Tamandua tetradactyla: one gene and its partners. Each later gene encodes a partner of the first gene's protein in a complex. Links are inferred from orthologs where the notes say so. Each region holds a gene or a part of one and is shown on either strand. Other genes may lie near its edges.

Region 1 (7,159 bases):
AAATATTTTCTGCATCCCTCCAGGGCATGGTGCTAAAGCCTGTCTGAATAGATTTAATCCACTATAAATTCAGGCATGCAAAGGACATAACCTACCATGCTGGAGACCTGGGTTTGATTCTTGCCACATGCATACAAATAAAAAAAAAAAGAAAGAAAAGAAAAAGAAAAGGACATAAGGACATAACCTGTACATGTCCACCTGGTCCTATGGAATAATCAAATAAGTATCACTGTCTAAAACTATACTCTTTTAAGCTTATATAGTATCCATGAGAAGGATCAAAAATATCTCTGTTTCTTAGTTTCTGAAAATTACTGTGAGATTCTTAGGGGGAAAAATGCTTTAGCAGTACACAAAATTGCAAAGTTACTCAAGCTATAGTACAGAAACAAAAATCACATGAAAGAAAAGATTCTAGTTCACCATTGTCTAAAACAAGCTAATGATCATTTAAAAAGAATTAAAAGTATAATATATCAAGAGAGTCAGGTTTCCACAACCAAAAAAAGTGTAAAATCAAGTCAAATAATGACATTGTACAGATCATTTATTCACTGGCATTGTGAGCATTTGTTATTTGGATAACCATTTTCACCTTCTGGAAAGGTTTCCAGAATGATGATCTCTAATCAGCTAATCACAGTCAGTTCAAAAGTATTATTAAGCAGCTATTATGTGCCCCCAATTACGCTGCGTTTATAAGACTAGGTTCTTGCCTTCTGTGCTGGTTTGAAATGATGTATGTACCCTAGAATAGCCATGTTTTAAATCCTAATCCCATTTTGTCAAGGCAGACGTTTTCTTCTAATCCCTATTCGGTATTGTATGTTTGAAACTGTAATTAGATCATCTCCCTGGAGATGTGATTTAATCAAGAGTGTTTGTTAAACTGGATTTGGTGGACGCGTGTCTCCACCCATCTGGGTGGGTCTTGATTAGTTTACTGGAATCCTATAAAAGAGAACAACAAGAGCGAAAGCCAGGAGATTCAGAGAGAGCAGAGAATGCTGCAACACCACAAAGAAGAGAGTTTACCAGCCGGCGACCTTTGGAGATGAAGAAGGAAAACTCCTCCTGGGGAGCTTCATGAAACAGGAAGCCAGGAGAGAAGCTAGCAAATGACCCTGTTCGCCATGTGCCTTTCCAGAGGAGAAACCCTGACTATGTTCGCCATGTGCCTTCTCATTTGAGAGAGAAACCCTGAACTTCATTGGCCTTCTTGAACCAAGGTATCTTTACCTGGATGCCGTTGATTGGACATTTCTATAGACTTGTTTTAATTGGAACATTTTCTCAGCCTTAGAACTGTAAACTAGCAACTTATTAAATTCCCCTTTTCAAAAGCCATTTTGTTTCTGATATATTGCATTCTGGCAGCTAGCAAACTAGAACACTTTCAAACTTAATAAGGAGAAGGAGTTAATATATATTAAATATTTTTTACTCATCCAAACCAAAAGAAATAGCATTTTCTGAAATGTGCTTTAGGAATTCAGAGAAGTAATTAATCTGGTTTAGAGTAATTTAAATAAAAAGTTTGCTGAGGTGTTAGATTTAGTCACAAATTTAAAAGTATTGAGCAGGGAGTTTGCAGAAAATCTGTTCAACTCTTAAAATAATTTGGTTTTTATTTATATATGAGTTCCATTTTATTAACATGTGCAGCCAGTAAGTTTGCTGATACAAAAATATAATAGAAAAATGTCTTACTTGGGATAAGTCTGTTGACTCTGGGTCTTGAAGAAAATCACTGAGGAGACCAACTCCAGTCTTAATTTTTTAAAATATATTATTTCAGACACAAAAATTGAAACATTTTCTACAAACTAGAGATATATGGATGAATAAAGCCTGAAGCATTTACAGTTTGGTAGAAGGAAATAAGTAAATCATTGCAAATCATTGGGAGAGGCTCTGTAAGATGTGTACGGCCCCCCCAGAGGAAGAGGTTATAGAGAAAACTTCCAGGCGGTAACCTTCAAAGAGATCAACAACCAGGAAGGGTCAAATATGTGTCTGTGGGATGGTGAACTGTGGCGAAGGAAGAGAGGGAAGAAAGGTACTTAAGAAATAGGAAACTGCAAACAGCATATAAAAAGGCACAGTGAGTAAGTAGTGGAGTTTAATTGGGGTTTAAATTGCAGTGGGAGAGTTGGGACTTTCTACATTTATTTTAAAGCCCTTCATTATCTATATGAAGAAAGAGAGTCTAAAGACAAGTAACTAGACCATAATGACTGTGAGATTTAACATAAATGACATGCTAATAATTAATTAGCTAATACAATGCTAATAATTACTTTTATATTTGGGTGTTAAGAATTCACTATATGTAATTGTATTTATTTCATATAAATATCTTCTGATAAGAAATATTATGATAATCGAACCATCCAATTTCAAATAGAACCACATGGATACCTATCTTTTTTTTTTTTTGCATGGATAGACACGGGGATAGCAGGAGAGAACGCTACCTGCTGAGCCACCGCTACCTGCTGAGCCACCGCTACCTGCTGAGCCACCGTTGCCCGTCCGCACATGGATACCTTTTATAGTAAAAACCTTACTTTAGTAAAGAATATAGTCAGTTTGCTTTAGGTTTTAGTTTAAGATTTTAGATACAGAATAAAATGAGCATAAAACCAGTGTTAATAAAATAATTAAATAGAAGTATCTTGCATTAAATACAAATTATCTCTTAAAATTTAGTTAATAGTTGATAAATTGCTTCTACATTCATCACGTCATTTACATTAGTACAGCATATACACCTAAGTATCATTTAACATTAGTTTTAAAATAAGTATTTGAGCCACATCATTAGGCATATTAAAACGTTTTTAAGAAGAAAATAATGTAGTAGCGTGAATTTAGTCTTAAAAATAACATACTAAAAAGTTAAACACAACTGCAAAATTCCAGAAAAGCAAGATTGAACGCTTTTCCATAGCCACTTTCACTGGAGGTCATCTCAAATTTCACAACTAAGAACAGTTTAAGATGTAATACTGGCACATTTTTGTTGCTAAGAGAACCTATTTTGTTTCAGAATTGCAGCCTTGACGACGCAATGTTTGCGCCTGTTTTTACACGTTTTTCTAGCGCTATTTCTCTTCTCTAGCAGCAATAGTCTAATGGCGCTGGTTTCCCCTTGCACCCGGCCCAGTTTTCCGTTTTAGCTTCAGTTCTCACAGGCTGTGCGCTCGCCTGTTCTGGAAAGGGCGGGGAGGACTGGAAGGGAGAAGCCCGGAGGGAAGGGTTGGGGTGGCGCGGCCCCACTGCAGCCGCCGGGGCCGCTCCCCAGCGTGGACCCGCTGTGAGTGCGGAGGCCGAGGGGGCTGGACGGCGGGAGGGTGCCGGCCCCGCCGGGGCAGCGGCCTCTTCATCAGGCTCTCGGCTGCGATTTAAAATCTGCAGCAAAAACCGTGTGCACACATCCTACAAACAGGAGGGGCGGGCGAGGGCAGTGTGTCCGCGTGATGTCCCCGAATGAGTCGGGAAAAAGGGAAAGGAGAGGTTCGAGAAATTATCAAATAGTTACCCCAGGCCGGAAAAATCAGGGCCCAGGCCTTGCGCTAGAGGAGAAAAGGCTGAGGGGCCGGTTGGCGCAGCACTGGGGCCCGGGCGATAGCACCGGCTTCCGCGAGAGGCTCGGGGCGGGCAGGGCAGAGGATGCGCGCCCGGTCTCCCCCACCCACCCCGGGGGCTTCCTTCCCTGGGATTCTTAGAGACTCGAACTCTAGGCCCGGCTCGCCGTGCGGCCGGAGCGGGGAAAAGGACGCCACGACCTTGGGTAACGCTAGGCATCTCCCAGGCGACAGACTCCGCGACAAGATGGCGGAGGAGAGGGAGCGCACAGGTAAGCGCCGTTGGGTGAGCGGCTGCCCTTGCAGCCGCTGCGACCCCGGGGTGCACAGGCAAATGGGGAGTGGGGTTGTTCGCCGTTCATCTTGTATCCCCACCACAGAGAAAGAGGTGATTGAGAAGACCGGTCGACCAGCTCTGCAAGGGAGGCTTCCCTCGCCCCCGCGCGGGGTGCTTCCCGGGCGGACTCTCGGCCCCGCCTCCCCCTTCTCCCCACTCCTCCTCCCTCCTCCCTCCTCCCTCTCTTCCCCCTCTCCGCCCCTCCCTCGAAGGCCCGAGCCTCGGTTCAACTGTCGGGCTGAGGGACAGACGGGCGAAGGCAATAATGGCGGCCTTGTTCACGTTCTTGGGGACGTCGCCTTGCCCGGAGTTCTCGGTGCCGCAGGCGCCACGCCAGCAGCTGCTCAGGCTTCGGTCACCACCGGGTGGCTGGGCAGGACGGGCGCCGGCTGCCAGGATCTGACGGGCTCCCTTTCGGTCGCGCCGAACTCCCTCCCGGGCCCAGCCGGATGGCTTTGCGGCCACCATTTTGCCTCTGTGGTGAGGACGTGGGAGGAGGGCCTGGAGGTCACCGCCGCTTCCTGCGCGCCTCCCTGGCCCCGAAAATGCCTGCCGTCTTATAAATAAAAGCAAATCAAAATCCAGCAATTTCAATAATGACGAAATGGCCCAATCGCGTGGGAAACGCGTACGAACCCCCGTGTGCAGGCAGAGAGTCCCCCCCGGTCCCGTGGCGGGAACAGCCACCCCAGCGCGCGGTCGCCGCTGGCACGGGCCAGACTGGGCCGGGCGGCTTAAGGTCTGCCGGGTCCGGAGAGCTGAGAAAGGAAAAACTGATTATCCAAGGTTATTTGCAAGACATTACATTGTTTTCACTCAGCGGTATGACTTAAAACTAGACCTTTAAACTAGACCCTTAGTTACCTTGGTTGCCTCGTAGTTACTACTAAAAGTAAGTGTTTATATTTATTAATTGCCAAAGTCACCGCAGAAACAAAGTGATAAAGCAGTAGAGGTAACTTAGAAATGAAAACAATATTCCACCTTTGTGTCCTTTCTGGAGCGCTCGAAGACTTATATCAGCGTTCTGTTTTTCTCAGCATGGAACAAAGTCAGGTCAGGTTAAGTGAATAAACTGACCCCTAGATGCTTAGTCCCTTGCCATGGTGATCAGATCAGCAGAGGAGAAACAAATGAAACGGTGCCAAAGATCTGCCTATTGATAACAGTAATACTCTTTGATCTTTTCATGGTATGGTTAGTCTGAGAATGCGGGACTGTTAAATAGATGTTACCTTTCCTAAAATAATTATAATTTTATGATGCTGTTATACTTACAGAAGTATGAGATATTTTCTAGATAAATTTTAAACCTTCCCCAGAAAAAGGAATGATTTATTCTTATATATTCTAAGTTCCTATTTATAATAAATGGAAAAATCATTAAGAGATAAATGTTCTAAGTTAATTATGGATTTTTTAAAAAAGTGATTTGATTAGAACAGCATGAGAATCAAAAAGCACTGGATTATGCTCCAATTACGCTATCTTTACTTTTTTTAAATAGAGCTTTCCTGATTTTTCAATTTTCAAAAATGTTTTCCTATTTAAAATAAATTAATTCAGAGAAAGAAAAAATTCTGTACACAATCATAGAAGTAATACTGTTAAAAGCTGGATACCATTCATTCACTGGCATATATTTAATTCCTAACATATGGAAGCCATTCTGCTTAGATTAGAACTTTGGAGGAGACAAAGATGAACAAGACCTGGTCCCTCCTTCCAAGAAAGGTGAGTTTAGTGAGGAATATGAATCATATACAAATGGGAGGGATCAGGTTACTAGGTAGAGCAGCATTTGTGCCAGACACTGTGCCAGGTATTGTACCCTTGCTACTCAAACCCAATCTGTGGGCAGAAGGTTCAGCAGCAGTGGGACTTTGTCAGAAATGAAGAATCTCAGGCTCTGCATTGTGAATCAGAGTCTGCATTTTAACATATTTGCAGGTGACCCACATGCACCTTAAAGTTTGAGGCGCACTGTTAGATAGTATATGCCACTTATTCTTAACAGTTTTATGAATTAACTATAACTGCATTTTGAAGGGCATGATGAAATAATCTTATGTTGTCTGAGGATAAACTAGAGACTTGGTGATATTGATCTTTGAATGGACATTTTCCACTCCTATATTTGATTCTCAGGTTTGAAGTTTCAGAAATTACTTCTAACTTGACTAAGCAGAATTGATCAGGCTTTGGGAATTCAATTAAGCTAATGAAACTCATGAAAGACTGATTTGCAAACCTGGATAATTTAATAATTTAAATAAGAGTATGTTGATACAATTACCAGAAAGCTGATTTCTGCAATGTAATACACTATATTATGGGTATTAAACTTTTGGGGAGATTGAATTTATATTTCAGAAGTTGCTTGATGAGCATAGAATCAAACAAAAGAGGATAGTTTTGAAGCATGTATCCATTATCAGTTTCAAGAGGTCAAGGACCTTTTCTGATCTGTTATACCCAATGTACAGCAGTGTCTCCTTGAAGTATGCATTAAATAAATATTTTGAATTTAGATCATCTGAAGTCATCAAAGTCAGTTGATGTGTTAACTAAGGTCATAACTAACTTTATTTAATATTCTATATCTAAGTAAACATAAATAATAAAATTTAATAAAATAAAGCTAATTTCTGTTTTTTTTTTCTTTTCCTTACTACTAAAGCCTTATGTTTATATTTAATCTGGGTCAACAATTTTTTTTTTCAGAGGGCCATGGTATTAACTAGTGTATCTTAAAAATTTCTTAATAGAAACATGTTTTAAATAGTTCATCTTAATTTTGAGATATATTGCAGTTATATAGGAGCAGTAAGTTTCTGGGTAGTCAGCTCCTCTTCATCATTTAGGGATTAGCACTGATATAAGTATGGAGAATATTGATAGGAAAAATGAACTAAATTTAGTACAGGGGCTATTATACTCTTTTTTTTTTTTACATGGGTAGGCACCAGGAATCGAACCCGGGTCCTTGGGCATGGCAGGCAAGCATTCTTACCTGCTGAACCACCGTGGCCCACCTGGCTATCATACTCTTGTAAAACCTTTCTGTACTCTTCCGTATATTGAAGTTATTATGCTGATTTGTAGCGTATTTTGTGCCTTGGCCTAGTATAATTTTTTTTCCTAGATTAAAAATGTGTGATAGTTGTATTAGCTAAAAAATAAAATAAGTTAAATTTTAGAATTGTTAACTTAAAAATTCAAATAATTT
Region 2 (7,052 bases), on another chromosome or scaffold:
GAAAGTCGGTTAACTGAACACGTTTGTAAAGTAAGGGCTCGTCTGAGGCACGATACATGGTTTCTACACCATAATCTCTGTCTTTGCTATGTTATTTCAGACATCAAAATAACACAGACACTAATCATCCATGCAGAAAACCTCCATAGACTTCAGGATGAGGAGGACAGAAACAGGAATTCCACCCCCTTACATTCGAGGGCAGAAGGAGATGGTTCTGGAGGGAGAATAAATGAGAGACACGCTTCAAGACTAGAAGAAAAGTATTCTCCAGACTTGGAGCATGTGCACATGATACCTGACCCTGGGTCACAGTTGCTATAAGCACCTGAAAAGACAAGCCTGGCTCCTCTCTTTTCTCTGTAATGTCTGAAGGATCCAGAAAAGTACCCAGAAGCTGCCAAGGTGCAAAATAAACATGAATTGGCCTCTTCCTGAACCTGCCTGCTGCCCAGAGGAAGGACTGTTTATTTCCAGATCTCATGGCTACTTCAGCCACTCTGCTCCTGATGACAGGCAATTGACCAAAAATGTTGAGGAAGACAAGAATGGAGAGAGGCGTCTAAAGAAAGAGTCTGCAGGCCCCTTAATCCTCCAGGGGAAAGCCCTGAAGTTTCTTCTGTTTTCATTCTAGACAGTCAGGTGTCCAGAGATCCAGATGGCAGTGAGATGACAAGGCTCCAGAATGGCACAGGACTGGAGGGAGGGTAGGGGCCACCTGACTTGTCATATTCACTTCTCCAAATTTATTTCTCCAACCACTCATGACTCTAGCAAGATGCAAGGAAGTATACTCAAGAGGTAGGCAACCCCAACATTGCCCAATAAATAATTAGAATTAAAAATTAAGCAGAGTACCAAAAAAAAAATCTGCTTTAAAAAATAAGCCATGCCAGAAACCAGGGTTGATTCCCATGGCCTGCCCATGCCAAAAAAATTTTTTTTGCTTTAAAAATTAAGCGGACTGATAAATAAATGGGAACTCCTCAAAATTAAATACTTTTGCGCATCAGAGAACTTCATCAAGAAAATAAAAAGACAGCCTACACAATGGGAAACAATATTTGGAAACGATATATCAGATAAAGGTCTAGTATCCAGAATTTATAAAGAGATTGTTCAACTCAACAACAAAAAGACAGCCAATCCAATTACAAAATGGGAAAAAGATTTCAACAGACACTTCTCAGAAGCGGAAATACAAATGGCCAAAAGGTGCATGAAGAGATGCTCAACTTCCCTGACCATTAGAGAAATGCAAATCAAAACCACAATGAGATATCATCTCACACCCACCAGAATGGCCATTATCAATAAAACAGAAAACCACAAGTGCTGGAGAGAATGTAGAGAAAAAGGCACACTTATCCATTGTTGGTGGGAATGGCAAATGGTGCAACGGCTGTGGAAGGCAGTTTGGCGGTTCCTCAAAAAGCTGAATATAGAATTGCCATATGACCCAGCAATACCATTGCTAGGTATCTACTCAGAGGACTTAAGGGCAAAGACACAAACGGACACTTGCACACCAATGTTTATAGCAGCATTATGTACAATTGCAAAGAGATGGAAACAGCCAAAATGTCCATCAACAGACAAGTGGCTAAACAAACTGTGGTATATACATACGATGGAATATTATGCAGCTGTAAGACAGAATAAAGTTATGAAGTATTTAACAACATGGAAGAACCTTGAGGACATTATGCTGAGATTAGCCAAAAACAAAAGGATAAATACTGTATGGTCTCACTGATATGAACTGATATTGGTGAATAAACTTGGAATATTTTGTTGGTAACAGAGACCATCAGGAGATAGAAATAGGGTAAGATATTGGGTAAGTGGAGCTGAAGGGATACAGATTGTGCAACAGGACTGAATATAAAAACTCAGAAATGGACAGCACAATACTACCTAACTGTAATACAATTATGTTAAAACACTGAATGAAGCTGAATGTGAGAATGATAGAGGGAGGAGGGCTGGGGGCATAAATGAAATCAGAAAGAAAGACGATAAAGATTGAGATGGTATAATCTCGGAATGCCTAGAGTGTATAATGATAGTGACTAAATGTACAAATTTTGAAAATGTTTTTGCATAAGGAAGAACAAAGGATGCTGAAAATAGATGGTAATTAATATTTTAAAATTTCAACTTATGTGTGAGACTAAAGAAAAAAAATGATTATTTGGTACAAAATTTATATTTTGACTAGTGCATTTCCTAATATAACTTATGTAGATAGCTTGCTTGAACACCATAAGTACTTGGAACCTTGGGTAGGACATGGGATTTTGTTGGTTTGTCCAGAGTGATGCCCCGATGAATCCCAGAGTGATTTGAACAGTGAGTGGAAAAGTATTTGCAAAGTCCCCTTTGGGGAATAGTGAGAACGGGGAGAAATTCAACTTCCCCAAGTAGAATTCTTGATATTCTCACAAGCAGTGTGGACAACCAAAGCTATAGGCTAAGCCCCCAGTCTTGGGGTTTGTTCATATGAAACTTAACCCCACAAAGGATAGGTCAAGCCTACTTAAAATTAGGCCTAGAAGTCACCCCCAAGAGAGCCTCTTTTGTTGCTCAGATGTGGCCCCTCTCTTCAGCCAACACAACAATGAAACCCACCACCCTCCCCCTGTCTACGTGGGACATGACTCCCAGGGGTGTGGACCTTCCTGGCAACTTGGGACAGAAATCCTACAATGAGCTGAGACTCAGCATCAAGGGATTGAGAAAACCTTCTCGACAAAAAGGGGGAAGAGTGAAATGAGACAAAGTGGCAATGGCTGAGAGATTCCAAACAGAGTCCAGAGGTTATCCTGGAGGTTATTCTTATGCATTAAGTAGATATCACCTTGTTATTCAAGATGTAATAGAGAGGCTGGAGGGAACTGCCTGAAAATGTAGAGCTGTGTTCCAGTAGCCATGTTTCTTGAGGATGACTGAATAATGATATAGCTTTCCCAATGTGACTGTGTGATTGTGAAAACCTTGTGTCTGATGCTTCTTTTATCTACTTTGTCAACAGATGAGTAGAACATATGGAATAAAAATAAATAATAGGGGGAACAAATGTTAAAATAAATTTGGTTTGAAATGCTAGTGATCAGTGAAAGGGAGGGGTAAGGGGTATGGTATGTATAAATTTTTTTTCTGTTTTCATTTTATTTCTTTTCTGAATAGATGCAAATGTTCCAAGAAATGATTATGATACTGAATATGCAACTATGTGCTGACATTGTGAATTACTGATTATATGTAGAACAAAATGATCAAAATAGGAATGTTTGCATTTGCTTTGTGTTTTTTGGTATTTAAAAAAATAAAATTAAAAAATTTTTTTAAAAGTTAAGCAGACTGGAAACAAGATCAGATAAGAACATTAGAGGGAGCTCCAATCAACACTGTGCTGCAGGGAGCTTGGCAAAATTTTTTCTCAGAACCTCATTGAAAATCAACCACGTAAAAAGTGAGATTAATACACCAAGAGAGAAGCAACCCTTGTAAATAATCCCGTTAAACCCAAGCATTTTGATTTACAAAAATCAAAGCTTTAAAGACCAGCAACTTGAAGCTGAAACGAAGTTGAATGGCTTGCCCAGCTTTAGGAAACCAGAGGAAGGACTAGAACTCGCATCTCTTGTCTCTCCGGCCAGTCCCATTTTCTCCACACCCTGGGCAACATGGGTCCATCTCCCCTCTGTGTCTCATTTCTTTGAAATGGGAAACTCTCCTACCTGCTTCTTGCATCTCCCTTATACACCAGAAAAATGCTTTTTACTGAAGAGGACCTTGAGTTTTAAGCCTAATAATGTCATTTTCCCGATGGACCCTAGAGCTGTAAATTGCCCAAAATGGCTATCAGGAATCCTTTTTCTCCACATCAGCACAACACTATTATTTCTGATGTGTAAAGCTTGTAATTTGTATGTCTCCAAATTGCAGACTTCCTACATGGAAGTGAATCATAGCAAATTGGCTCCAAAGTCCTTTCTCCTCAAACCACACTTTGAATTTGGGAATAAGGAGAGGACTGACCCTCTGCAATCTTAGTGTTTTAAGCCGAGTGAATTAAAATAGCCCATTCTACCTTCCTGCGAGCTCTGTGTTTCCCAGTTGCCTGGACAACAGGCTGTCTCTAAAAACCCAACCTTCCAGTTCTCAGTCCTGCCCCCGTCGGAAATCTGCCACCCTGGATTGGCTCATGGAACGCTTCCTCCTCTTTGGGTTCCTGCTGGTTGGACTTTTTTTCTGCCCTTCCTCAAAAGGGTCACTCCGCAGGGAGACGCAACAGAGGCAAGAGAGGATTCTAAAGGTAGGAAGAGGTGGAGTGAGGGAGATGGGGGAGAAGCAGATACTGAGATTCATTTTTCTCTAAAAGAGGGTTGAGAGGGATGACTTCTGTGTAAAGACCCAAATGGATAGAAAAAAACAGCTCCATGTAAGAGTCCATAGAGACCAAGAACTGAAGCTTCTGGAAAGTGCAAGAAACAGAGTTGGAGACTAGAATTCCCACTTTCCTGGTGTTACCGGACAAAGGCAGTGAATTCTTTTCCCCAGTGAGTTCAATAACCAATTCCTGAGACACCGGGGTTGCAAAGACAGAAAATGTTTATTGCTAGGCAGGAAGCAGACCAGATGGCCTATCAGCCCAAAATGTGTCTCCCTGAACTGCAGTAATTCTGAAAGTTTTATAGTATCATAAGATGGGCAGATTTTAGGATAAGGAGCACAGTGGCCCCACATGATGTAATTAGAGGTGATCTGATTATTGAGCATGCACAGATTGATTACATACTTAGTCACAGAAGGTATGAAAGAAAATGGTGACTTTAATATGCTGATTGGTATTATAATTAGGTATCAATGACTTGTAGGTTAAAGTCTAACCTACTGCACATGTCAGGCAGGCCCATTTTTTATTAGCTCCACCTCCAGTAATCAAGGTAACTTTGGATTTTGATTGGGTTAGTTCTGGGCTGACCCAAGACTCTTCATTAATAAACATTAGGGGCTGTCTTTAGTGATAACAAGACTGGAGACTCTAGAGTCGAAAAACAGGAAAAATGGGTACACGTGACGGTTAGTCACAAATTTTTACAATCACAAAGGACACAAGATAAAGGCTACACATCATTATCAGAGGTCAAGGCAGCTGGATTCCAGTTCAGAGATTTCAGGTATTTCCCTCTGTCTACTCCAGTGTACTAGAAAGCAAAAAGGAATTTCTATATAATGATTCGGCAACCATAATCATTCCTTAAGTCCTAATTTTTCAGTTATACCAGGACTCTTGGTTCAGCCTAAAAGTCAGAAAAGCATCCCCGTGTCCAGACGTGAATACCAGTCTTCTCCTTCTTCTGGATAGCAAGAAGATGCCACCTAAGACCAAAGAAAAAGGGCTGAAAGCTGGGGCACAGAATAAGAAAAAGAATTCAGGTGCTGGTGAGTTGGGGGGGTGCCCCCCACTTCTCCATGCTCTGGCACAGAGACCAGCACCGGTCCTCCAGAGACTATTTGGTCCTCTGTATGATGAGATGGAGCTTTCTTGACCCTCCCCCCTCATATCTTCATATCCAGGTTCCATGGAGGTGGGAAATTGGGGAAAATCAGTCATTTGACCCCTCCCTTGAGTCCCTTCTAGCTCAGGTTCAGCTCTGAGCCTTCCGTATATATTCATCACATATATTTTGAATACCCACTCTATGCTAGGCAGTGAGGATGCAGTGGTAACCTCAGACCTCAGGAAGAAAGGAAGTCCAGAGATTGGGTGAGGAGGGGAGGAGAGTCGCGGGAGGAGGGTACTGAGAGCAAGACCAAGGGCTTGCAACCCTCTCCTCTGTCAACTTGCTAGGGCAGATGTGGAAGCCGAGTCCAAGCACAGGCTGGAAGTGCTGGAGAAGGAGTTGCTCCGAGACCAGTTGGGTAAGAAGGGCAGGAGCTCCAAGAGGCTACAGGGGTGGGGCAATGAGGTATTTCTGTTTCCACCACCTCCTCTCATCCTCAGGGATTGGAGGGTTGGAGCTATGGTTGGGGGTTAAGCTAACCTCTAACCATTCCCTAATGGGAAAACACTGTTATGAGTTGAGATCGTGGTGGGGAGGGGGTGGGCATTGAGGTTTGATGAGAGAACTAGGGAGCTATTTTTACAGCCAGAATGTGAGAAATTTTTGCTCCTTAATAGTGAAAAGTCTGTGAGATTCTGAGAGGAGGGGGTGGGTGGCACCCAGGTGAGAATGGGAGGCTAGATGCTCTACCTCCAAGTTTCTGAAAGTGGGCAGGGCCAGTCAAAAACACGGAGCTGGCTCAGTGGGGCCCCCAGTCAGATCTGAGGGCTGCTCTGGGACCACCCACAGCCCTGCGGAGGGACGAGGCCCGCCAAGCCAAAGCCTCTGAAGACCAGCTGAAGCAAAGGTTGCAAGGGTTGGAGGCTGAACTGGAGAGAGCCCGAAGTGAAGGGAAGGCCGTATATGCAGGTATGTGGTGGGTTTAGCGGGTGGGCAGGAGGCAGGGCTCTGGAAGAGAACAACCAAGAAGAGATACATTTGCTGTGCCCAGTCTCAGGACAAATGAGGCAGATCCTAAAAAACCCAAAGAAGTCCTCGGGGATCCTAGGCAGGGATCTTCCAGGATCCCTGATGCCATGTGCTTGATGCTTTGCAGGTTATGCAATGTAGCAATAGCCATTACCCCATTGATTCCATGGGAGTGAATGGGACAGCTTAGAATCCCTATCCTGGGCTGGAATGGGGAGAGGGGTTTGGTTTTCTCTCCCTCCCCCGGGTTTTCAGGGACTCCCAACTTCTCAGAATCTCTCCAGAGGAATCAAGAAGGCTTTTATGCTCCCATCCCACTGGACCAAGCATAAATCCCCTGGGCCCTCCTCACCTACAATTTAATCTCCTTTCTCCATTCTTCCATCCCCACTGAGTCGCTGCCCCCACCCCCACCCCGTCCCTCCCATAGAGATGACTCGCCAGTACCGGGCCCTGCAGGAGAAGATGGAGAACCGCAGCAGGTGGCTGGAGGAGGAAGTGAGGGGCCTT
Region 3 (7,423 bases), on another chromosome or scaffold:
TGGGGAAAGGGGGGAGGACACAGGTGAGACCCAAAAAGAGGAGACCACCATAGGCTTGAGTTCCTGCCACCTCTGCTCAAAGCTGAAGACTTGCGGAGGGGCCAGGGAAGAGGAAGGGAGGGGAACGCTGGGCTGGGGCCCAGTTCAGAAGTGGGGGCCAGCTGGAAACCTGCTTCCCAGTCTCTCCCTTCTGCTTTCCTTCTTATCTCACAGGCAACAAAGAAAGCCGAGGAGCTGCTGGAGCGCCATGCAAAGGGGCCTCTGATTGTGGACACAATCCCCACTGAGTCCCTCTCAGTGAGTGTTAGGGGAGGGGGCTGGAGGGCTGCCCAAGGGTCTGGGGAGGGGAAAATTGTGACTGGAAGGTAGCTGGGAGTCTGGGTAGCTATGGGCTCACCTCTGTCCTTCCTTGCCCAGGTGCTGGTGAAGGTGGTGCGGCAGCTGTGTGAGCAGGCCCCCAGCACATCTGTGTTGCTCCTCAGCCCGCGGCCCCTGGGGAAAGTGCTGTGTGCCTGTCAGGTGGCCCAGGTGAGGGAAGCAGAGAGCAGCCCCGCATCCCCACCCATTTCTTGATCCAACTCTCTGACTCCACTATTTTTATTCCTCCCTAACGAGGAAGACAAGGCCAGGTAGAGGTTATCTATGAGGACAAGCAGGATAAGGCAACCTTCTATCCCTAAAGACCACCTACCTTCACCCCCAGAGACATGCCTCCTCAACAACTTCACCAGAGTATAATCAGAATGAGATTCCCTAATTACCAGCCTACTCCCGCCCCCCCCCCACAAGCCTCACATCCCTTGCAAACAAGAAGCAAACATTCATTAACCTCTGCACACATGCCCAGCCTTTCTGTCTCCTCAGTGATTTCCCCCAATATGGAGAGGGGGTGTGAATCACCTGTGATTTCATCTCACAGGCTGAGTGGATGGTGGCAAGGAAGGCTGTCCTGTATGACTTCACCTTCTGTTTCTGTCCCCAGGATGCCACACCCACCTTCACAGCAGAAGCCTGGGCACTGGCAGTGTGCAGCCACATGGGGGGCAGGGCCTGGGGCTCTGGTGTTGTAGCCCAGGGCACTGGAAGCACTGCTGACTTAGAAGCTGTCCTCAGCACCGCCCAGGCCTACGCTCTCAACCAGCTGTAACCCAGGCCTGTCCAGGAATCTGCATGGACTGAAGAGATACTGGACAGGCAAGACTAGGAGCCCTTGAGGAGTGACCAGACCCCACAGAGGGTGAGGCAGAGGCCTGGAGGCTGAGACTGAGCAGCTGAACTGGAGAGGCCACTCTGGACCAGAACTTCCATGGACACAGACAGATGTGGGCCAGGGAGAGCAGAGGGAGCCCAGAGCACACCCCCACTGAATGAATGTGAAGACACAGGCAATCATGGCTGTGACTGTTCATTATAAAGTGTTTCACAGAAGATCCAGAAGTTTCTTTTAGTTAAAAAAAAAAAAGCTGCCTTTCTGCTCCCACCTGTATATCTGCCCCACCACCAGGTCTGTCCCCTCACACGGGGCTGAAAGGCCACCAAGGGTCCAAATCAGGATCATCTTCATCACCAAGTGCCAAAGCAGGTTCTTTCAGGTACTCACAAGGATACTGGCCCCCAAGATTCAGAACAATCATGTAAAAATCAGTACAGTGGGGCAGACCTGGTGTTCATTTCATAACGGTGACTTCTCATTTTTAATTAAGACACTGCTCATTTGTTGATAAATTGAGCAACAGGTACTAGCCAATGGCTGAGAATGTGGTAAAAACCAAACAGACAAAAATTCCTACTCTGGTGACGCTTACTGCTAGTGGAGAAAACTAGCAGTAAACAAGAGAAAGAAGAGGATGTCAGATGGTGATGAGGTCTGTGGGGAAAAATAAAGTATGGAAAGAGGATCAGGAGTGTGGAGGTGGGGTTACTGCCTCTTCAAGAGGCGGCATCTGAGCAGAGACCGGTAGGTGAGGGTGTGAGCCACGTGGCTCTCTGTGGCAAGGCCATTGCAGGCTAAGGGAAGCACTGGTGCAGAGGCCCTGGGATGGGAGTGAGGCAGTCAGTGTGGCTAAGCACAGTGAGCTGAGAGAGTGGCAGGTGACAGGGTCAGAGAGACAGTGGAGGCCAGGCCAACCTTACTTTTTTTTTTTTATTAATAAAACCAATCAACATACAATATGCACATTCTTTTTTTCATCACATAATTGTATATTCATCATTTCTTAGAACATTTGCATCCATTCAGAAAAAGAAATAAAAAGAAAACAAAAAAATTCATACATATCATACCCTTTATCCCCCCTTTCATTGATCACTAACATTTCAATCTATTAAATTTATTTACATTTGTTACCCCTATTATTTATTTATTTTTAACCCATATGTTTTAATCACTTGTCCATAAGGTAGATAAAAGAAGCATTAGACACAAGGTTTTCACAACCACAGAGTCACACTGCAAAAGCTATATCATTATACAATCATCTTCAGGAAACATGGTTACTGGAACACAGCGCTACATTTTCAGGCAGTACCCACCAGCCTTTCTGTTATGCCTTAACTAAATAGGTGGTATCTATTTAATGCATAAGAATAACCTCCAGGATAACCTCTCTACTCTGGTTGGACTCTCTCAGCCATTGACACTTTATTTTGTCTCATTTCTCTTTTCTCCCTTGTGGTTGAGAAGGTTTTCTCAATCCCTTGGTGCTGAGTCCCAGCTCATACTAGGATTTCTGTCCCATGTTGCCAGGAAGGTCCACACCCCTGGGAGTCATGTCCCACGTAGAGGGAGGGGGAGGGCAGTGAGTTTGCTTGTCGTGTTGGCTGAAAGAGAGAGGCCACATCTGAGCAGCAAAAGAGGTTCCCTTAGGCCTAATTTTAAGTAGCCTTAGCCTATCCTTTGTGGGGTTAAGTTTCATATGAACAAACCCCAAGATTGGGGGCTCAGGCTATTGCTTCAACCTTACTCTTTTTCAAACAAATTGCACCACATCTGCCCCCAGGCTGAGCTGAAGCTGGAAACAGGGTCTAAAATTGGCAGCTCAGAGGAGGAGAAAGCCCTCCTTGCCTAACAGAATGAACCCCCCCAGGACTGAGCCAGACTCTGGAGCTCTCTGTCCCCAGTCTATTGTTAGATAAAAAGAAAGGATCTCAGGAGACCCATCTTCAAATAAGTGTTCCCTGGCTACCGAGTTCTGCGGCTATCTAGTAAAAATATTAGAGCAGGTAGGTCCTCCTGGCATCACTTCATTCCTTACCTGATTTCTCACTCAAATTAAGGCACTGATAACTGGTTGGGAAATCACTGATGAGGGCTTCTAGGGACCCACATCCCTGGTGCCTGGCCCCTGACTGCTCACCCCAGCCCTTCGGGGCTGCAGAGCTTTATTTCGGGATCTGGGTAGTTAGAGCAGACCATTATTCAATGGTGCTCACCCAGGCCCACCCAGCCTTTTATGAGCTCCATGGCCACTAGAATGAGGACTTGTGGTACCCCCATTTTACCAAGGAAATTGAGTTTCTGAGATGCTGGCTTATCCAAGGTAACCAAGGAGTCATTGGGAGAGTGGAAATCAAAGTTAAGCTCTGTCTTCAGGTGAAACTCTTCCTTCCACCCTGGCAGCCTCTCCCCTTCTGAAGGACAATTTATTTTCCTTACTAGTTACCGGTCCGGGAAATCAGAGGCACCACATCCTATCACCCCAAGGTTGTGGGGGAGGAAGGGTTGACACCAGGCTTGAGGCTGTATGAAGGAAGGAGCTCTATGGAGGCCTGGAACCTTCCTGCCTCAGGTGCCAGATACCAGCCTTGTTTACAACCTAAAGAGAGATGGAAGTTGCCACCCTTCAGGGATGCAGTAGCCCAGAGCTCACTTAGGGGGTCTGAGTCAACACGATGCCTCAGAGGAACTCCAATAACTCTTACAGGTATGCTGGAGAAAGTCCTTCTACCCCCTCATCTTCCAGAAGAAACATTCACTGAGCTTTTCCTAGACCATCTACTCCCCACCACCCCAATCCCCTGTAACCACCCCACCCCCATTTCCAGGCAAAATGTACTAAGGAACAAGCACTTGTGTCCAGGTGCCCTGCCACATCCTCCCACCCACTTTCTCCACGAATAGCATACCCATTCCTAGCGTCGCCAAGGAACACAAAACCACCCCAAGGCCCCAAAGTTCCCACTAAGCAGGCCCACGCAGCAGGCCAGGAGGAAGCTTCCTGAAGCAGGGTCCCGGCCGCCTTGCGTGCCAGTTAATCCTCGCCAAGGCCAGTGGCGGCAACCACAACAGAGGAACAGGCTTCTGCGCCTCCACGACACACCTGGGAAACACGGGGCCCACGCGGCGTACACGTGCACGTGCACACCGGGCCTGGGGCCCGGGGGGGGGGGGGGGGGGGGGATGCAGAACGCCCGGCGTTGACCCGCCCCCTGGCAACGCCCGGCGTCCCTAACGACCCCTCCGGCCGCGCCGGGCCTGCTCAAAGGCGAGCGCCAGCACTCCGAAGGAGCGGGTGAGGCGACCTCCCTGACGGGGGACACTCAACCCCCGGGGCCCCTAATGGGCTGAACTCTCCCCGCCCTCCCCCTGGACGCCTCTCCTACGCCCCAGAGAGAGGACGGGCGCTCTGATCCCTCACAGGCCTGAAGCCCGAAATCCGCAGGCAGCCATCGTCTGGACTCCCCACATTTCTCTGGGTGAGGAAGGACAGGTTTGTAGCTATGGGAGCTTCCCACCCATTTGGGGCGGGACTCGTAGTTCCTCCTTAGCCGCAGTCACTGTCTGCAAACTGGCCCAGAGGGTAGGAGTCTGAGTAAGGGATGGGGAGTGGATGCGGGGGACCATGGGGAGAAGGAAAGGGCAGGGCATCGGGTAGGTGTTGGAAGAGAACATGGAACAGAGCCACTGGTCCTAAGCCTGGAGCCCAGGACTCTCAGAAAGGCTGACACCCAGCCCCAGCTCCCCAGGCTGCCATCTCTCCTGCAAATCCACAAGCTTCCCCATCCCCCTCCCTCCCACCGCCTGGCTGGTTTCCCTTGGTTACCCAGGAGACAGCCGGAGCCTCTAAGGCCCAGATGGGGTGGGGGAGGAACTCGCTGACCTTTGGAGCTGAGCTTCCCTGCTGGGGTATCTGAGTTGAAAGTGAGGGGTTAGGAGCGAAGTCGCTGGAGTCTCTTTAGAGACAACAAACCCAAGTGGACAGGAGTTCGGAGAGGACCCAGGTCAGGGGCTGCGATAAGTGTGCTGACCTGACTGGACTATTTTACTGGGTCAAAGACCAAGCATGCTGGTCTTGGGCTCTGTCCAAGAAACTCTTTTGTCCCCCTTCTTGTGACTCCACTATCTGGGAATTTGGGAGTGACTTATACTAGATAAATTCTGACATGGTGGGCATGAAAGAGATTACACAGGAGGTGTAGAAAAAAGCTCATCCTGAGGATGAATGCCTGGGGAGAGCTTCCTTAGGGAATCTGGAATGGGGGCGAAGCTGGCTAAGAGGGCCCAGAAAGCACAGTCAGAGAGGTGGGTAGAGACCCGGAGGAGTGGTGCGTCAGGAAAGTCCAGGAGGAGAGAGGCTTTAAGATGACATGGCAGGCCATCCCAAAGACTCCAGTGCCCCCTGGAGATTGACACGTAGGCACACTGCCCCTCAAGGGGCCTTTCCCCAAGAGAGCATTGAGATTGGAGGCTAGATTTCAGGAGCTGGAGGAGAGCCCCTCATCTTTCAGGGTAAGAACGGGAGGATGCCGGGTCAGAAAGGAGGAAGAAGCGAGGCTGTGGCTGGAAAAGGCAAGGTCAGTGTCAGGTGAGAGACGGAAGTGGTGGGGACAGGATGGAAGCCGAGATGGTCAGCAAGGAGTGTACGTGGGCACAGAGTTACTCCAGGGTCTAAAGAGGGCCAGACACCACATCTTCTCAGCTAAGAGGAAGGGAGGAGAAAATAGTTGAGCACTAGGGATGTGACAGGGGCTGGAAGGTGAAAGGACTCTCCTCACCCCCTAACATCTTGAGCCTACCCTTTCAGGCAGGTTGGCAGAGGCTCTGCCCAGAGTAGGTAGTTTTACTCTGAGGCCTTGAGTCAGGATGGCGAAAGTCTGAGACTTCCTTTGGGAGGAGGAAATGTGCCAAAGATTCAAGCATCATACCCTGATCTGGGAGGAGAATTGAGGGCCGTGTGTGAGCCAAGGGTCAAGGACAGCACAGTTCTGCAGTGTTCTTCTAATCCCTTTAGGAGATCACACCAAAGGAGATACGCATTGATCCAGCTTTTGAGGGAGATTTCTGTGTCTGGCAGTGAGCTGGGAGTGAGGAGGCCTGGGCTGTTAGGTCTGCACAGCAGGCACCAGGCTGCTGACAAGGAGAGAACTCCTGAGCTGGGGACTATGAGATGCTCTTTGAAAAGGGCTGTGAATGACCAAGTTGGTGGCAGGTCTGAAGCAACAACAACATATCATTACTTATTTTATTTTTGTGCATGGAAGTGAGAGCAGGAGACGTTAACTCAAACTTCGGCCTCTCCATTTACTAGCTATGTGACATTTAGCAAGTTCCTTAAGTTTTCTAAACCTCAGTTTCCTCGTTTGTGAAGTGGAGATAATAATTTTAAAACTGAGGATTTAATAAACATATGTAAGTCCATGGTGAAAGTCTCCCTGGCAATATGGGACAAGACCAGCTGGGGCAAGTCTGGCCCTGGCACCGTGGGATCAACACCACCTTCCTGACCAAAAGGAGGAAAAGAAATGTAACAAAATAAGGTATCGGTGACTAAGAGAGTTCAACTGGAGTTGAATATCTATTCTGGAGGCTACTCTCATGCAACCTTTAGCTAGATATTGCTAATAATCACAGTTTGCCAAACCCCAACCAAAATCATTCCTATTAACTCTAAAGAATACCTAAGGCTCTGAGATTCTACAAAAGTTTCACATACTAAAATTACTTTCCAGAAACCTACAACCTCCAGATAGGGTCCTAGGCCAGATAAGTCCTAAAACCCAGAGGGGCCAGCCAGCCTCTCCAAGGACCTCAACTAGTTCCATCCCCCTATCCCGTATTATTGACACCCCTTTACCACATGAAAAAGTTAGAAACGGCAGAGCCCAATACCCCTAGAGACTGGTAGAAGGATCAAAGGCAAAGTAGGAATTATAACAGAAAAGATAGGATTTGACAAATGAGTATGACTCCTGAATAATTATATTGATATTTCTTTTAGTCTCCAATGCCTTAGAGCAGCTAGAAGGAAAAACCTAGAATTGTGGAACAGTAAGCCATACCAAACTCTGAAATCTGTTCTATAACTACTTGTTACAATGTACTTTAACATTAATTGCTTTTTTGTACATATATGTTATATTTCATAATAAAAAAATGTTTAAAGTGAAGGTAAAAAATGTATGTAGGTAAGCAATCGAACACCAT
Region 4 (7,610 bases), on another chromosome or scaffold:
AGGATCTTTGTAGTCAGACAGTTCTGGGTTCAAATCACTGTCCAGTCACTATGTGGGCTATGGTACGACCTTGGGCAAGTGACTTAACTTCTCTGACCCATAGTTCCTCCTTCTATAAAATAGGGATAATACTGCCTATTTTGCAAAAGGGACCTACATAACAGAAAGTTAAAGCCTGATGCTTAGCTTGACAGTTCTAGGCAATATAAGAAAAGTTAACAATCAGAGCCACTGCTTTTCTAGTCCTGGATGGTTCTTAGGAAAACATCTGATTTACATTCTAACCCTCCTGCACCATGCTCAACCAGAGCCACCCAGCTCTGCCACTCTAGACGGGGGTGAACATGCAGAAGCAAGGAGAGGCCAGTTTGTAGGGAGCCAAGCCCATCACTGCCTTCCCATCCCCAAGGAACACTGCTCTCCTTCATTACTTCCACGGGGAAAATGCTGAGTTCTCTGCAACCCAAATGTGTTCTCTCTGGACAAAGGAAATAGGTCAGAGAAGGAGATAAGTGTCTTCACTTGTGAACTAGACAAGAGCAATAAGCCCACCGTCCTGGCTGAAGACTGGCAGATGTGTGGAACATCCATTTGCTAAGGAGACCCCAAAGCGCTATCTCCAGTGTCTTAGGACTCTTCCTAAAAATAAGTTATTTTAAGCTTCTCCTGAGGCTAAGGCCTGAGGAAATGAAGCAACTGGCTTCAGGACAAAGACCAGAAAGGTTTTTAAGGCCTCTCATTCTGCCAGAAACACACTTAAAATTTAAAAATGTAAAGCTCACAACCTCTCTTGGCCTCATTTTGTGCTAGGCTTTGGTTTAGAGGAAGACAGAGCAAAACCAAAAACCCTCAGATCAATGGCTGACTTGAGCAGGTCAACAGAATTCACAACAAATGCTTGCCCCCTTCCACCTCTGTCCTGGGCAAGGCACAGACTGAGCTCAAGTGGAAAGAAGCACTCAACTCTACCTTCCTGCCAATGGTTTCAGATTGGGACAGAGGGAGGCTGGTGGTGAAATCTGTTTTGTTTTGTTTTTAACAAGGAATGGGGCAGCTAGCCAAGGAGCTTAGACCAAGATCCCAGCCAAGCATCCATGGACAAGGTCAAGGTATCCACAGCACAAGGGAGGCAAGTGGCAGAGAGAAGCAAGAGCTCTCAGAGGGCCAGCTAGCCCCAAAAGCATCACAAAGCTTGTGGATGGGACTAGAAATCCCAAGGTTTCCTAGGAGTCACTTCTGAGTCAGAACTTGAAGCTCAAATACGGGTGTCTGCCCAGAGGGTACAACACCTTTCCTACTGGACCATAAAGCCCACATGGTCCCTGGCACTCAGAAACAGAAGAGTCACGCTCCCCCAGCCCACCTCAGTGTCTTACTTTTGTTAAGCAGTTCCCCTTGGCCAAGTCCATTGGAGGGGGCTGGTGGGGCACTGCCACTCTCGTCCAAGGTCAGGATAAGGGGCACGTCGTCATCTAAACTCACGGCCATGTTCTTCTCTCCTGCAGACCTCAGGATGTGATGTCCAGGGCTTTAAACAGTCTCTGGCTTGATATCCCTTTAAAAGCCACAGCCTCAGAGGTGCCTCTCAGACACACCTCCATTAGACGCATCTTCTAGGATCTGGGGAATTAAAAAGAAAAGAAAGAATTACTAAAATACAACCATTATTGATAAAAAAAAATTCTGAAATTAATGCTGACAGTTTTACAACCTTGTGAAGATACTAAAAATAAAACCACTGAATAGTACACTTTAAAAGGGTGAATTCTATGATACGCGAATTGTATCTCAATTTAAAGAAAACTATAGTACAGTATATGCCCCCAACATCTGCAAAAACATATGCTGAAAAGTTAAGCATACTTATATCTGGAAAGTAAACTTGTGATTAATACATTCCATTCCTTCCTTACCCGTGTCTATGTGAATTTTTAAAAGTTTTTTAAAGACTCAAAAAAAAAAAATACAACTATTAAAATAATAGTAGTTGGGTGGGCCACAGTGGCTCAGCAAGTAAGAGTGCTTGCCTGCCATGCCCAAGGACCCGGGTTCGATTCCCAGTGCCTGCCCATGTAAAAATAAATAAATAAATAAAAATAATAGTAGTTAATACTCTTTTGAGTGCATACTATGTCCCAGACACTCTTCTGGCAATTTATAAATACAAGCTGTCAATCTTCATAATAGCCTAGTGAGATAGGTCGGATTATTATTCCCCTTTTACAGAGAGGGAAACTTTAGGCACAGAGAGGGCATGTAACTTGACCAAGAACCCACAGTCAGAAGGCCAAATTTGGAACTATGCAGTCCGACTTCAGAATGGTGCTCTTAGCTCTTCAGTTCAATTCCTCAAAGTAGTAGCCCTGATTCTTAAGCAGCATCCAGCTTCAGTGACCTGCAGAGCATGGCAGGTGATCTCCATTTGTCCATATCCTAGGCCCTACTCTCCTAGCTTTAGGTGTTTGAGGAGGACAAAGGTACTGAAAAGAGATCCAGTCACATAACAAAAGTGCTTGTCCCTAGGTTACAATTTAAAACCTTCACAACAGACTTTCAGAGTTCCTATTTAATCGCATTTCCATTTCCTCTTAGGAGAGCCAACAGAAAAGCAAAGACTCAGCAGATATGACCGCAGACCTTTGAACTTGAAAACAGCTGGCAGGTTCCTTCCTCAAGCTGTTACCATTTGGGATCAATTAACTTTGCCTCCAAACTGACCTAATGAATGACAACTGAGCAGCTGAATTCTTCCGCAAGCCATCAAAATAACTTCAGGCAGCTCCCTCTGAATCAAGAGGGAAGAGGACATCTTAAAACAAGGCAGCAAAAGTAAACACCCTTCAACTTGCCACAAAGCCTGTACCTCTGCCCAGCAAACTTCCTGTGAGTTTTTTTCTTTTTTTTAATGTTTCCTCCAAATCTGGGGATTTATTTTCTTTTTAGATCTCAGTAATGGGGAGGCAGAAGAAGGAGAAATTCAAATGAGAAGCTACGATCAAGCTGTCTTATTCAAGAATTATGTGTTGTTTTTTTCTTTTTAACTTTTTACCGTGGACATTTTCAAATATATGTAAATGAACTTCCTTGCATCCATTCCCCAGCTTCAACAAATTACCAACAGTTTACCATCCTCTCCTGTATTTGAGGGTTGGAAGGATCTATTAACCCTCTCAACTCATCAAGAACAGGTTTTCTGATTTATCATCATTAACATAATGACTACATTTTCATTTTAACTGTTTAACGTATGATTGCTTGCTTACATTGCCTTAGCTCAGTGATTATCAACTGGGGACAATCCCCCCAACCCAGGAACATGTGACAGCATCTGGAGACATTTCTGAGAGTCAGAACTTGTGGGGAGAGTCAGGGCACGAGGGGGTTACCAGCATCTACCGGGTAGAGGTCTGGGATGCAACTAGACAGCAGCTCCAGACAGATCCCCACTGCAAAGAATTCTCTAGCCCAAGATGTCAACAGTGCTGCCCTCATAGCTAACATCCTCACTTTACAGAGGAGGGAACAGAGGCTTAGTGAAGTTTACTTAACTTGCCTCATAGAAGAGCCCAGATTTCAACCCAGACTAAGGTCAGGGACCCTCTTCCCTTACTACCCTATGGTAACAGGATTCACAACTACCCTCCTCCCAGAACCAGTTCCCTAATTTGGATTCAAACCCCTCATTTTGCTGATGGGGGAAAGTGAGGCCCAGAGAGGGGAAGGAACTTGCCCAAGGTCACACAGTGCAGAGGCAGGGCTAAAACGCAGGACTCCTGAGTCCTAGCCGAGTGCCCCTTTCATCCGCCTTGCTTACTCCTCTACCTAGGACGCAGGAGGGTAAGGGTCACCCTGGGAAAGGGACCCGGGGAAAGGGGGTCAGCAGGTATCCCGCTGCCAGCTGGGGCAGCCGGACCCAGGCACAAGCGCCGTACTGGACGTCCTGAGGGCACGAGGGGGATGAGCGGGCGAGGGAGAGGCAAGAGGCAGGAGTGCCAGCTCCAGCTCCCCGCGCTTCCAGCCCTGGTCTGAACCCCCGCGCGGGGGTCGTCCGGGAGCTGGTGGCGAGGAGAGAGGGTGCAAAGCCGCGGCCTGGGCTGGAGGGAGCGAAGCGCGGCGTTGACTTCCCCTCGGCCCCCACTTCCCGGTGCCCTGCTGCAACCCCTCACTTCGCGCGCCTGCCTGGGCTCCTACCCCTGCCCTCTCCCTCAGACCAAGCTCTCGCGCCCCCGGGTTCTTACACGCGCCGCCCCAGCCACCCGGACCGCGTGCCGGGGTCCACACCGCACCACGCACCCAGCCCGTCGCCACGGCCGCCAGAGCCCCGGGGCGGAGTTGTTGCTGGCGCTCCATGAGCCGCCACTCCAGACCAAGCCGCCACGGCAGCTGCGCCAGTTCTCCCACCCGCCGCCTAGTCCCCTTAACCCCGCAGGCCCCGCCCCCATTTCCCCCTTTGCCGCCGCCTATTGGCTAGCCTGGATGCCATGCTGAACTCTGATTGGCTAAGCCTAACATCCTTCCCAATCCTTTCCCGCGGTGAGGGCAGCACTCCCAGCCGGCCTCCTCCGGCAGGGGAGGGACGTAGAAGCTCCGCCCTTTTCCTCTTCCCTCCCTCCCCCCCTTCGTTGGCCCAACCCAGAGGGAGTCCCGGTTCTTGCAATTGGTGCAGAGGCAGAGAGACGGCGCTCTTGATTGGTCAAATACCAGGAGGTGGGGCGAACTGAGCGGAATAAGAAATTGAATGGTGAAAAGGAAAGTCAGTCAGATGCCGAGTCCCGCCTCCTGAGATTGACTGGTCACCTAGCAACGCAGGCGCCACCGAATTAGCTGTGGGCAGAGACCTGGAGGCTTCCGAACAGGTGAGTGATCAGGTGTGTGCGTAGGCAGAGGTGAGAGGGAGATATGGAATAGGAACTAACCCGCCCTCCTTTGGCTCCATAAAGAAGTAGCCCCATCCCTAGCTCGTCCGAGCCCCAGGACCCTACTCTCCAGCCTCTGCCTCTCCTCAATCTGGACCTCCCTCTCGACCGCCTGCACATCCTCCTCGGGTCTCCAGCTAAATCAAGTGGAGGCACATCATAGTTCATTTATTTCAAGTCAAACATAGGTGCTACGGGGTAAGAGGGTAGCTTATAGTCTCCTACCATTCCACCCGACAACCATGGGCTGGCATGCAATCAAAGGCATCTTGTGTGAATGTTTAAATTAGGTCATTTTGATTACACCAATTTTTTACTTACGTGCAGACCTCAGAAGTTAATTCCCATCCCCACCCTTAAAATGTGATTCATTGTACATACTTTCAGACAAAGAGTTTGTTGCGAAGATCAAATGAGGTAAGGCAATGAAGAGCTTGGCACAGAGGCCAACAACATAGTAAGTGCTCAGGAAAAAGTGGTGTGCTGATTTGAAGCTGTTGTGGACCCCAGAAAAGGCCATGCTCTTTTAATCCATTCTTAAGGGTGCAGAACTATTGTTGGGTGGGCCTTTTGATTAGGTTGTTTCAACTGAGATGTGACCCAGTCCATTCAAGGTGGGTCTTACTCCTTTACTGGAGTCCTTTTTGAGACCATAAAAGACAGAAAAGCCGAGAGAGCTTAGAGAGAGAAATAGCCAGAGAATCAGGAAGGACCCACAGGAGCTGAGAAAGAAAGCCACTGAAACCATGAGCCAAAAGCAACGAATCCCAGGAGTGAAGGACCAGCAGATGCCAGCTGTGTGCCTTCCCTATGACAGAGGGATCCTGAATGCCAGCAGTCTTTCTTCAGAAAAGGAGTCTTTCTCTTGATGCCTTAATTTGGACGTTTTTGCAGCCTTAGAACTGTAAATTTGTAAACTAATAAATCCCCATTGTAAAAGCCAACCCATTTCTGGTACATCGCATTCTAGCAGATTTATCAAACTGGACTAAGTAGTAATAGTACTACTACTATTAATGATAATAACAACTTTTTTTCTAAAACACATCTAGCCATGACTCTTCCTGCTTAAAACAGCTCCAAGGAAGTTCTCTCCTTCCATCCCTTTAAGTATTCATATATTCAACAAGTATTTACTGAGTGCCCAGTAAGGGCCAGGCACTGCTCTAGGTGTTGGTATAGAATAATCAATCAGTAAAGGAAACTGCATTCTTCCCCTCATGGAGCTTGAAGCCTAATGTGGGAAATAAACAATCAAATAACATACAGAAAAATGTGAAATCACACCTATGAACAGTCATATCCAACGTGATGAAGCAAGGAAGTCAACAGATCCTCTCCTCAAAAAGCAAATATAAAGCTGGGCGAAACGGTCTAGTTCTATCTCAGCACTCTGGAAACTGATCAAAGGCATAGAACAAACTGAGAGCATTTGTACATGAAAACCACTGAACTTCAAATTTGTGGCATACTTACCAGTGGCTGCTTCTATTCCCCCTCCCCCCAGTTCTATCAGTGTGATATGTCAATCAGGGCAGGCAGGCCATGAAAACTAATAGCTTCACTGTCACTGCCTGAGGGGGCTTATTTAATTTGGAGCATTGGCAGTTGAAGTGGCAACCTCGGTGGCAAGTGAACAGGGAGGGCCAGCAACTCCACTAAGCCCAAGGCTGCAGTCCTGTTTGGAGCCAAAATGGATCAGCAACCTAGAATCCTGAGATGTGAGACAGCTATAGGGTGCTTAATAAGCTCTCCACATATCCTGCATTGACCAAGGCGATGCACATATATATAGCAGAGAATAGAGCAGGTCCAACCACCTATGCATCCCTGGCCATCGGAGCCTGTACACACTTGCAGAGGAGACACAAGGAGGTCTGGCAGAAATTAAAAGCCAGGGTAGGCTTGAAAGCAACCTGAACATTGTTCTCCCTAGCAGAGAATGAAAGCCTTCCTGGCTGAAAGTGTTGGAGCACAACCTCTGACCAATTTGTGGTGAACATTAAGCTATGCACACACAGGGGCAACCCCTAGGAAGCCAGGCTTAAATATAAAAACAAGAAAAAGAAATGGGCAGAGACAGCAGCTGCTGTGCATCGTGGGAGAGACTGACTTCACACATGTAGTCCAGGCAACTTATTTAACAAATGCACAAGCAAAACAACAGTTTTTTAAGAGGGAAAAAAGAGAGAGAGAGAATCAGAGTTGCTGCAAATTTTATTTAAAATGTATAATAGTCAACAAAGAAAATTATGAGGCAGGCAGAGAAACAAAAAAGTGTAAAGATGAAAAAAGCAGTCAATAGAAACTATCTCTGGGAATCCTCTGATATTGAATTTCGCACACAAAGACTTCAAAGAAACTATTATAAATATGTACAAATAACTAAAGGAAACCATGTTTAAAGAATTAAAGGAATGTATGATAAACTGACATCGAAAAAAATCAACATTTTTATCATTTCTTCCTTTGACTACTTTAAAAGATGTCAGATTACATAAAGCAATAATTATAATGTTCTATTGTTGTGTTTATAATATGTATAGATGTAATAAAGGTGACAATAACAACACAAAAGAGGAGGATGGTGAAGGAGATATTTTAGACCAGTTTCTATATTTTACTGAAGTTAGGTTGGTATTATTCTGAGTTATATTGTGATAAATTAAGGTATACATTATAATCACTAGAGAA

What was found.
Region 2: DRC8 (region 1) and DRC12 share a complex: the UniProt entries of both Homo sapiens proteins name them as parts of the nexin-dynein regulatory complex. The link is inferred for Tamandua tetradactyla from reciprocal best matches to the Homo sapiens genes DRC8 and DRC12.
Region 3: DRC8 (region 1) and DRC5 share a complex: the UniProt entries of both Homo sapiens proteins name them as parts of the nexin-dynein regulatory complex. The link is inferred for Tamandua tetradactyla from reciprocal best matches to the Homo sapiens genes DRC8 and DRC5.
Region 4: DRC8 (region 1) and DRC10 share a complex: the UniProt entries of both Homo sapiens proteins name them as parts of the nexin-dynein regulatory complex. The link is inferred for Tamandua tetradactyla from reciprocal best matches to the Homo sapiens genes DRC8 and DRC10.

What each region holds. Positions count from the first base shown.
Region 1 is NC_135333.1:16,560,440-16,567,598, forward strand, and holds the start of DRC8 (dynein regulatory complex protein 8), read left to right. Parts: upstream 1-4,148; 5' UTR 4,149-4,526; coding exon 4,527-4,752; intron 4,753-7,159. UniProt on the Homo sapiens protein: Component of the nexin-dynein regulatory complex (N-DRC), a key regulator of ciliary/flagellar motility which maintains the alignment and integrity of the distal axoneme and regulates microtubule sliding in motile axonemes.
Region 2 is NC_135334.1:21,541,794-21,548,845, forward strand, and holds the start of DRC12 (dynein regulatory complex protein 12), read left to right. Parts: upstream 1-4,030; 5' UTR 4,031-4,210; coding exon 4,211-4,321; intron 4,322-5,285; coding exon 5,286-5,451; intron 5,452-5,865; coding exon 5,866-5,931; intron 5,932-6,362; coding exon 6,363-6,482; intron 6,483-6,972; coding exon 6,973-7,052. UniProt on the Homo sapiens protein: Component of the nexin-dynein regulatory complex (N-DRC), a key regulator of ciliary/flagellar motility which maintains the alignment and integrity of the distal axoneme and regulates microtubule sliding in motile axonemes.
Region 3 is NC_135331.1:101,910,278-101,917,700, reverse strand, and holds the start of DRC5 (dynein regulatory complex subunit 5), read left to right. Parts: upstream 1-4,421; 5' UTR 4,422-4,511; exon of another isoform or gene 4,512-4,709; intron 4,710-7,423. Other genes in the region: AARS2 (alanine--tRNA ligase, mitochondrial), read left to right, coding at 214-297, 418-528, 983-1,147. UniProt on the Homo sapiens protein: Component of the nexin-dynein regulatory complex (N-DRC) a key regulator of ciliary/flagellar motility which maintains the alignment and integrity of the distal axoneme and regulates microtubule sliding in motile axonemes.
Region 4 is NC_135331.1:13,883,538-13,891,147, reverse strand, and holds the start of DRC10 (dynein regulatory complex protein 10), read left to right. Parts: upstream 1-4,589; 5' UTR 4,590-4,856; intron 4,857-7,610. Other genes in the region: TPCN1 (two pore channel protein 1), read right to left, coding at 1,377-1,488. UniProt on the Homo sapiens protein: Component of the nexin-dynein regulatory complex (N-DRC), a key regulator of ciliary/flagellar motility which maintains the alignment and integrity of the distal axoneme and regulates microtubule sliding in motile axonemes.